2 linked regions of the Xenopus tropicalis genome follow. The protein of the gene in region 2 binds, or shares a complex with, the protein of the main gene of each other region. Links are inferred from orthologs where the notes say so. Each region holds a gene or a part of one and is shown on either strand. Other genes may lie near its edges.

Region 1 (4,400 bases), on a different chromosome or scaffold from region 2:
GCATTAGGCATTTTCTTTTAGGCATGAAAATGTCTTGCTCCTTAGTAAAATATGTTTCTGGGTGAATTGAAATTCTTAATGTTAATATTAGTAAATTTTAGAGAGGATATTTGCTGTCTCAAAGAGTTTTTCAGTGCTATTTAAAAATGAGTGGTGACCTAGAGTATGTAAGGAAACCCAGGTAAGTACTGGCTTGACTAGTTAGTGACGAGGGAAAAAACAGAAGCCCAGATGTCAGAAATAGTGTCACTTCTTTCCAAAACTGGTCATATTCTCTAGTGCCACAAATTAATGCATTGGCATTGTCACACAAAATACAACAATATCTAGCTACATATTCAAAATATACTCATACTCCATATTTGCCACCAGAGAGAAAAAATGGAGGGGAATAAATGATTAAATAAGCTTTATATTTTAAATGTTAATGCTTAAAGGACAAGGAAAGTCTAAGTCACTTTGGGGTGCCAAAATGTTAGGCACCCCCAAGTGACTTAAATTGCTTACCTTGTACCCCGGGCTGGTGCCCCTGTTAGGAGAAAACAGCACCAGCCCGGGGTAACTGTAGCGAGTGCTTCCTTCTTCCCTATTCGCGCTGCTGCTTATTGTCCGGGACAGGCACATGCGCAGTAGAGTGAAACGCTGACTTCTCTGTTCAAAGTTCGGCTACTCACTCTACTGCGCATGCGCGCGCAGCGAACAAGGAAGAAGGAAGCGAACGCTGCTACCCCGGGCTGGTGCTGTTCTCTCTGTACAGGGGCACCAGCCCGGGGTAAAAGCTAAGCGATTTAAGTCACTTGGGGGTGCCTAACATTTTAATATTTAAACTGGGACAAATTTACTATAAAAAGGGAAAGGGTTTACTAATGAAAAATGGAGAGGAAAGGCTAGCAATGTAGATTTTATGACATGTTTTTAGCTTTTTCAGAGTTTGTAATCTATTATTTAAACTTTTTAAACATGGAATAAATGTATTTATTTCAATGAGCACAGCAATAAGTTAAGATCTAAAACAATGCTTTTAAAGGGTAGTTAACCTTCAAATTAACTTTTACTATGTTATAGAATTAGCAACCTTTAGTCGCTCTTCATTTTTTATAGCTTTTGCATTATTTGAAGCTAATCTGGCCAGGTCTGTTGTACTTACATTATATTTTATTAGTCTTGGAGTGCTCCCACACTGCCCTGTGTGTTTCACTAGCTAAACTCCATCCATACCACATTGGTTAGAAGTTTGAATTTTCTTATTTTCTATGAATCACTAATAAGGAATGCAGATGTAAAGATAGATGGGTCAGTTTATCCTTTTCACCCAGACACTGCATGTGAGAAGCCTCTTTAACAAAGAATGTGAGTCTTCCATCAGGTCAGTTCAGTCAAGTGGATAAGGCACCTCCTGGAAATTCTGTGGAAATGCAGAGGGAAGAATAACTTTAAAAGGGAATCTTCTGTTGGCCTGCAACCAGCTTCTTTATCATACGGAAGTGCTAGAATGTGGCGGGGTTCATTCCTCTGCAACTCTGTGTCACTGCTACGCATATAAAATGAGTCAGTGTTGTGTATATCAGAACAAACAAGGAGACACACAGACATTTCTATAGTGGAAATTAGGTTTTTGGTCAATATCAGAAAGTCTCAGGAGTCATGGGGACTTCATTCGTTGGATACTTTACTTTCATCTTCTTTCTTCTTGCTCTGATGAAGGCCAGGGGCAGTCCTGCATACAGCTCTATCTTGTCTTCTGATCTAACAGACTTAAAGGTGAGAGACTCTGTAGCATTGATGTGGTTCTAAAGAACTTTACTCAAAAGAAGGAATGAAAATATAATGTAATTCTAAACAGTGAAGATTAAAGAGAAAGTGTAGGAATCCAGCAAAAAAATACTGCATGCTCTGTATTCTATTATTTTACACACTTTTTTAAGTTTATCCATTAAAGGGCAGTTACATATTTACAGCAACTAGCTATTATTAACATGATCCCTTTTGAAGTTTCTCGGATGCCTTCCCAATATAAGTGTCTGTTGTTGTAGTTATTTACACTAACAAATCAGAGTTAAATATCTTTAGTGCACATTGAATTCCATCAATTAATTTCATTTTTTCCTACATATGATCTTTCCCTGGTGTATAACCTCCTTTATGTATAATTAGCAGGGAAGCTCTTGTATCCCACCTAATACAACATGTGATTTTAGCAAGTTTGCCTATTAAATAAGCTAATTAAAACTATCTATAAATGTACAACACAAAAAAATGTATAATGCCTAAAATGATAACATTCAGAAATATGCTTGTAGTAAAACATATTGGGCCCATAATTTATTTGCAAGTTTTAGATGCTACTCATACAATCATTTGTAAATCTATAAATCAGTTACAGTTGGGGTTACATTATTCATTATAATCTATAGTTTATCTTTTGCTGGCACACACCACATATATTATTAAGTTCTTATAATTAAAGTAGATCTAAACCAAAATACAAAAAAAGTCAACTTACATTGCTCCTCTGAGCACTTGCTATTCACTTACATTTTTTGTTTTTAGTAGTTTTTGAGTTATAGTTTTAGACTCAGCATCTCTCTAGGTTTAACTGACTATGAAGTAGGGATGCACTGAATCCAAGATTTGTTTTGGGATATGGCCAAGATTCAGCCTTTTTCAACAGGATTCAGATTTCACCAAATCCATGGTTCTTGCTGAACCGAATCCGAAAAATCACATGACTTTTTGTCATATAAATACGGAAGTTGAAAATTTGCCACTGCCTGCTTTGCATACAATTGTCTTTAACCTTCCCCTATCCTAATTTGCATGTGAAAATTAGGATTCGGATTTAGTTCAGTATTTGCCCGAATCTTTCATAAAGGATTAGTGGTTTGGCCGGATCCTAAAATATTGGATTCCCTACTATGAAGGTGGTGCATAATCAGAGACCATTAATAAAAAAAAATGTAAATCACAAGAGTGGTCAGAGAACTCTGCTTTTAACAACAACAATAATTCAGACAGCTCTCCTCATATCCTATAGTCTAGCTCTTGCTTCATCCAAAAAGTCACTGGAAATGCCGTACAGCTTATCAAGTGAACATGGGCATTTATTGGGAAGTTGATATACACATAGTTTCACACAGGCACACCTAAAAAAAAAAAATTCTGAAGTTGGACCTCCCTGATCTTTACACATGTATTTAATACATTATATAAGTACCAGAATAACTCTTAAGCATCTGGCCCACATCTACTGGCTGAAAATATTAGAGCAGATAAGCTTATCTCATGATTTTAAAGTTTAGTTGTTTCTGGTTGTAGCCTTTCTTTATCACCAGTCCAGAACAACCAGTAACATTTAGGGGCATATTTATCAAAATGTGAGTTTAGAGCTCAATACATAAAACTCACATTGTATTCATTCTTGTGGGGTTTTTAGAAGCGTATTTATCAAGGGGTCAGAGTTAGAACTCACCATTTGATAAATACACCTCTAAAAAACCCATAGGAATGAATACAACGTGGGTGAGATTTTATGTATTGAGCTCTAAACTCACATTTTGATAAATCTGCCCCTTAATGTGAGTTTGCCTAATTATTTGGATATTTTTTTTAAACATTACCCTCAGACATGAGAAACTGTTGTTTACATGACAATAATTTACACACATTCATAATATATATTTGGAAGAGTTCACTAGAAATTAATTTCTTCACTGCAATTGACTACATTTTATTTAGCTCATTAAGATCTTTTTCCTGTAGAACATTTTGGAGCGCTTGGAAGCGCCTGCAGAAGAACCAGTGGCCCCATCCCAAGATTTATTTGCTCAGAATTTTGATGTTGCCGATGCTTCTAACTCTGCTCCTTCCTGGACCGGAGAGGCTGTGAGACCCCAATCTGATACAGTATTCAACAGAGGGTCTTCCTGGGAAACACCTGATAAACTATCCCGACTAAAAAGCAAGTTAAGAGAGCTTTTAAATTCACCAAAAAGTTTAAGAAGGTCCTCAGACTGCTTTGGAGGACGCATTGACAGAATTGGAGCCCAGAGTGGCATGGGTTGCAACAGCCATAGGGTGAGCAGCAAACCCATTCTTGTAGTATCCACCTAAAAACACATTTGCTAAAAATTATAAGGGAATTGTGTTGAAATAACATTCTGCCTTTTGTTTTAATTAAAAAAAAAAAATCAAAGTTTTCCTTTTATTTGCCATTATAGAGGACTAATTTGAAAGTTGGGCTACTCACTGACCTTACCGTCCCTTTCTTTAGGGCTCTGGCACACGGGGAGATTAGTCGCCCGTGACAAATCTCCCTGTTCGCGGGCGACTAATCTCCCCAAGTTGCCATCACCTGCCATCCCACTGGCGAAAGTGTAAGTTGCCGGTGGGATGGCACATGC
Region 2 (3,819 bases):
TTCCAACAGCTCCCTGGTTGCTAAGGTAATTTGAGCCCTAGCAACAGTATATCTGACCCCGGCAGCCAAACCTTATTGCTCTGTGAGGCTCCAGTTTTATTGTTATTGTTACTTTTTATTCCTTATCTTTCTATTCAGCCCCTCCCCTATTCCTATATCAGTCTCTCATTCCAACCACTCCCTGGTTGCTAAGGTAATTGGGACCCTAGCAACCATATAGCTGCTGAAACTCCAAAATGAAGACCAATTGCAAACTGTCTTGGAATATCTTGCTTGGTAAGATGTATAATAAATCTAAGGCTCTCATTTCCCAGCATATGGCCCCGCCCCCTTGTTACCTTCACAATGTCGTTAATTAGCGAATATCTGAACATCCAGTCCAGCGTGATGCTCTCGTTCTCCAGAATGTCCTGCAGAAACACACAGGGGCATCAGCGAGGGGCATGAAAGGGTTAACTCTAACTCTAGCAATACAAATCATGGGGGGTGGTACCTGCAAACTGCCCCGGGGGCAATACTCTGTCAGGATGCAGATGTTTGGGGGGTCGATGCAGGAACCGACAAATCGCGTGAGGTGTTCATTCTGCACATCTCTCATCTAGAAGGGAAGACAAACGGTTAAACCCAAGGGGCCCCGGCAACATTTAATAATTCATCAGCCAGCGGGGAAGGGGGGGGGGGAATCACCGGATCAATTGGGCAAAGGTTAAACGGTTCCCAAGTCGCCTGGGGGAGAAGGGAAGGATAGACTGGGGGGGGAATGATAGCCAGCCCAGTAGGGAAGCATAGGGTACTGCAGGGAAAGGGTTAAATGGCTCCATGCCCAGTGGGGAAAGGGTGGGCAGGCAAGGGTTACACAGCTTCTTCCTAACCATATAAGAAAGGGAAGGCAAGGGTTAAATGGTTCCATACCCTGTTAGAAAGGGATGTGGGAAGGCAGGAAAGTCCTATACCCAATGTAGCAAGGGTTAAATGGTTCCCTACCCAGTGGGAAAGGATAAGAGTGGGCAGGCAAGGGTTACACTTCCTAACCATATAAGAAAGAATGGGAGAGGGAAGGCAAGGGTTAAATGGTTCCCTACCCAGCGGGAAAGGATAAGAGTGGGCAGGCAAGGGTTACACTTCCTAACCATATAAGAAAGAATGGGAGAGGGAAGGCAAGGGTTAAATGGTTCCCTACCCAGCGGGAAAGGATAAGAGTGGGCAGGCAAGGGTTACACTTCCTAACCATATAAGAAAGAATGGGAGAGGGAAGGCAAGGGTTAAATGGTTCCCTACCCAGCGGGAAAGGATAAGAGTGGGCAGGCAAGGGTTACACTTCCTAACCATATAAGAAAGAATGGGAGAGGGAAGGCAAGGGTTAAATGGTTCCCTACCCAGTGGGAAAGGATAAGAGTGGGCAGGCAAGGGTTACACTTCCTAACCATATCAGAAAGAATGGGAGAGGGAAGGCAAGGGTTAAATGGTTCCCTACCCAGTGGGAAAGGATAAGAGTGGGCAGGCAAGGGTTACACTTCCTAACCATATCAGAAAGAATGGGAGAAGGGGAAGGCAAGGGTTAAATGGTTCCATACCCTGTTAGAAAAGAATTTTGGAGGGTAGGCAATGGTTAAATTATCCCATTCCCTAAGTGGAAATTATGTGAGTGGATGGGAATGGTTAAATGGCTCTATAGCCAGTGGAATAAGGATATGAGAGGGCAGGTAAGTGTTAAACAGTTCCAAACCCACCAGGGAAAGGATAAGACCGTGGTTAAATGGTTCCATGTCTAAATGGGAAAGTTCCACACCCAGCGGAGAAGGAATGCAAGGGTTAAATGTTTTATCACCAATGGAGAAAGATGAGAATGGGTAGGCAAGAAATAAATGGTTAAATCCCAGTGAGGAAAGGATCAGAGAGGGGCGGTAATGGATAATAGTCCCAAACCCAGTAACAAAGAGTTAAAATGGTCAGCATAGGGTAAATGGGTAATAGGGGAAAATGACAGCGAGCAGGCAAGTGTTAAATTATCCTACCCAGTATGGAAAGGGTCGGCAAGGGTTAAATAGTTCCGTATCCAGGAAAAGTATGAGAATGGCTAGGGAAGGGTTACACAGTTCCTTATGCAATAAATAAAGAATGAGAGAGTAGGCAAGGGTTAAGTGCTTCCATACCCAGTGAGAAGGCAAGGGTTAAACGGTACCAATCCAAGTAGATAGGGAATGAGTATGGGCAGGCAAGAATAAGGGTGAGAAGGCAAAGGGTTAATGGTGAAAAGGTGAGAGAGGGTAGGCAAGGGTTAAATGGTTTCATACGCCATGGGCAGGCAAGGGTTACACTGATCTTATAACAAACCGGAATAACCAGGAGGAGAGAGAGGCCCCCGACAAGTTAGTTTACCTTGAAATTAACTCTTTGCTGGCTCTACCCTATTAAATGCAGTTATGGAGGCCCCACTTGGTTAACTGCCCCAGTGCCCCACATGGTGCAGAAAGGGTCAACTCTTCGGCTGCATTATCTACCCCCCTCTCTACCCTTCAGATGGGATTCCTGCGCACAATTACAGCAGGGGGTTACTCGCTCTTATGTGCCTGCTGGGATCTCCAGTACGCGACCGGCCAAGAAGGGGGCACAATTTGGCCAAAGAACCAGGCTGGTCCGATTGTTTGGCCACTGGCCACATCATGTTAATAAGGGAGGAGGGGCTGCACCGTGGGCACCAAAGAGAAAAGACAGCTGGGGGGCCCCACACGCCGGGCATACCCCGTGGGCTGAATGTCCCCTTACTAAGGCCCCGTCCAATCAGGGAGGGAGCGAGAGAGTCGGGGTGAGGTGGCAGCGATGCTCCCTCTGGGGCATCTGGACACTGCAAACATTAGTGAAATGCCAGGGCCGGTTCTGAATAATATTGGGCCAGAGCAAATAACATCTGCTGTGAGAGGGAAGGGAGGGAGAGACAGTCACAGGGAGAGACAGATGGAGAGAAAGGAGAGCGAGAGAGGAACATGCTCCTCAGCTAGACCAACGTTCCTCAGGCTGCTGCTGTGGGACCTCCAAGCCCATCAACCCCCTAAAACTACTTTGCGTTGGGAATCCAGGGGGCGAACCCCCAAAACAGAAAGATCTGGAAGCAAAAGCGAGGACAAGACTGCCCAGGAAATCCCTATTGGCTGCTCTTCCCCTACAGCAGGACTCAGCTGGACTCTCAGGAATGAGCTCCCTGTGGAGAAGCTCAAACACGTGCCAGTGTGTCCGACTGACCGCCCCACCGGGGTTAAGTGGAGGGGAGCCCAGACTTTAGTTGTTTATGGGATTTTCTGAATCGTCAGCAGCTTTTCCCTGGGTCGGGAGCCAAGGAAGTGTCTTCAGCGAGACAGGTCCCAGATGGTCAGCACTGGGCAGAGGAAGGGAGGGTTACATCACTGCTCTGGTCAGGTCAGAAGAAAAGCGTAAGGGTCCGGGATCATTTAGTGGTCAGTTAGGAGGAGCTCAGCTGTTCCTTACGTGTTTCAGCTCGAACAGGACCTTGCGAGTCAGCTCGATCCGCTTGCGGTTTATGTGCTTGACGGCAATGATGTTGCCCTGCAGGGGGGAGACAATGGGTAGAGTGAGCTGGTGGGTCACATGGAAGGGGGTGTAAAGGGGGTCCTCCGACCTTGGTCACCACTGAGAGGTTTGTAACATGGTTTTGGGACATGGAGGTAACGATGGAAGGGCTGGACCTTACCTTGTAGTAGGCAGTCTTGGCGTAGATTTGGAACTGACCTTCTGTGGTGAGCAGGGACCCATAGTTGGAGCCTCTCTGTAGATAAAAGAACACATTTATATAGTACTGTGTAT

The links.
Region 1: the proteins of npr1 (region 2) and nppa are in contact, whole or in part, in a crystal structure (PDB 7BRG), measured with the Rattus norvegicus proteins. The link is inferred for Xenopus tropicalis from reciprocal best matches to the Homo sapiens genes NPR1 and NPPA. Residues at the interface, in NP_036745.1 of Rattus norvegicus: Asp90, Val115, Tyr116, Ala119, Pro120, Arg123, Ala139, Leu140, Gly141, Ile142, Val144, Tyr148, Tyr182, Asp184, Leu186, Gly187, Asp188, Asp189, Arg190, Phe193, Phe194, Val196, Glu197, Tyr200, Met201, Arg204, His213, Gln214, Glu215, Phe216; in NP_036744.1 of Rattus norvegicus: Arg126, Ser127, Ser128, Cys129, Phe130, Gly131, Gly132, Arg133, Ile134, Asp135, Arg136, Ile137, Gly138, Ala139, Gln140, Ser141, Gly142, Leu143, Gly144, Cys145, Asn146, Ser147, Phe148, Arg149, Tyr150.

What each region holds. Positions count from the first base shown.
Region 1 is NC_030683.2:65,813,861-65,818,260, reverse strand, and holds the start of nppa (natriuretic peptides A), read left to right. Parts: upstream 1-1,536; 5' UTR 1,537-1,644; coding exon 1,645-1,761; intron 1,762-3,759; coding exon 3,760-4,074; intron 4,075-4,400.
Region 2 is NC_030684.2:144,232,338-144,236,156, reverse strand, and holds part of npr1 (atrial natriuretic peptide receptor 1), read right to left. Parts: intron 3,782-3,819; coding exon 3,707-3,781; intron 3,562-3,706; coding exon 3,484-3,561; intron 599-3,483; coding exon 494-598; intron 411-493; coding exon 339-410; intron 1-338. UniProt on the Homo sapiens protein: Receptor for the atrial natriuretic peptide NPPA/ANP and the brain natriuretic peptide NPPB/BNP which are potent vasoactive hormones playing a key role in cardiovascular homeostasis.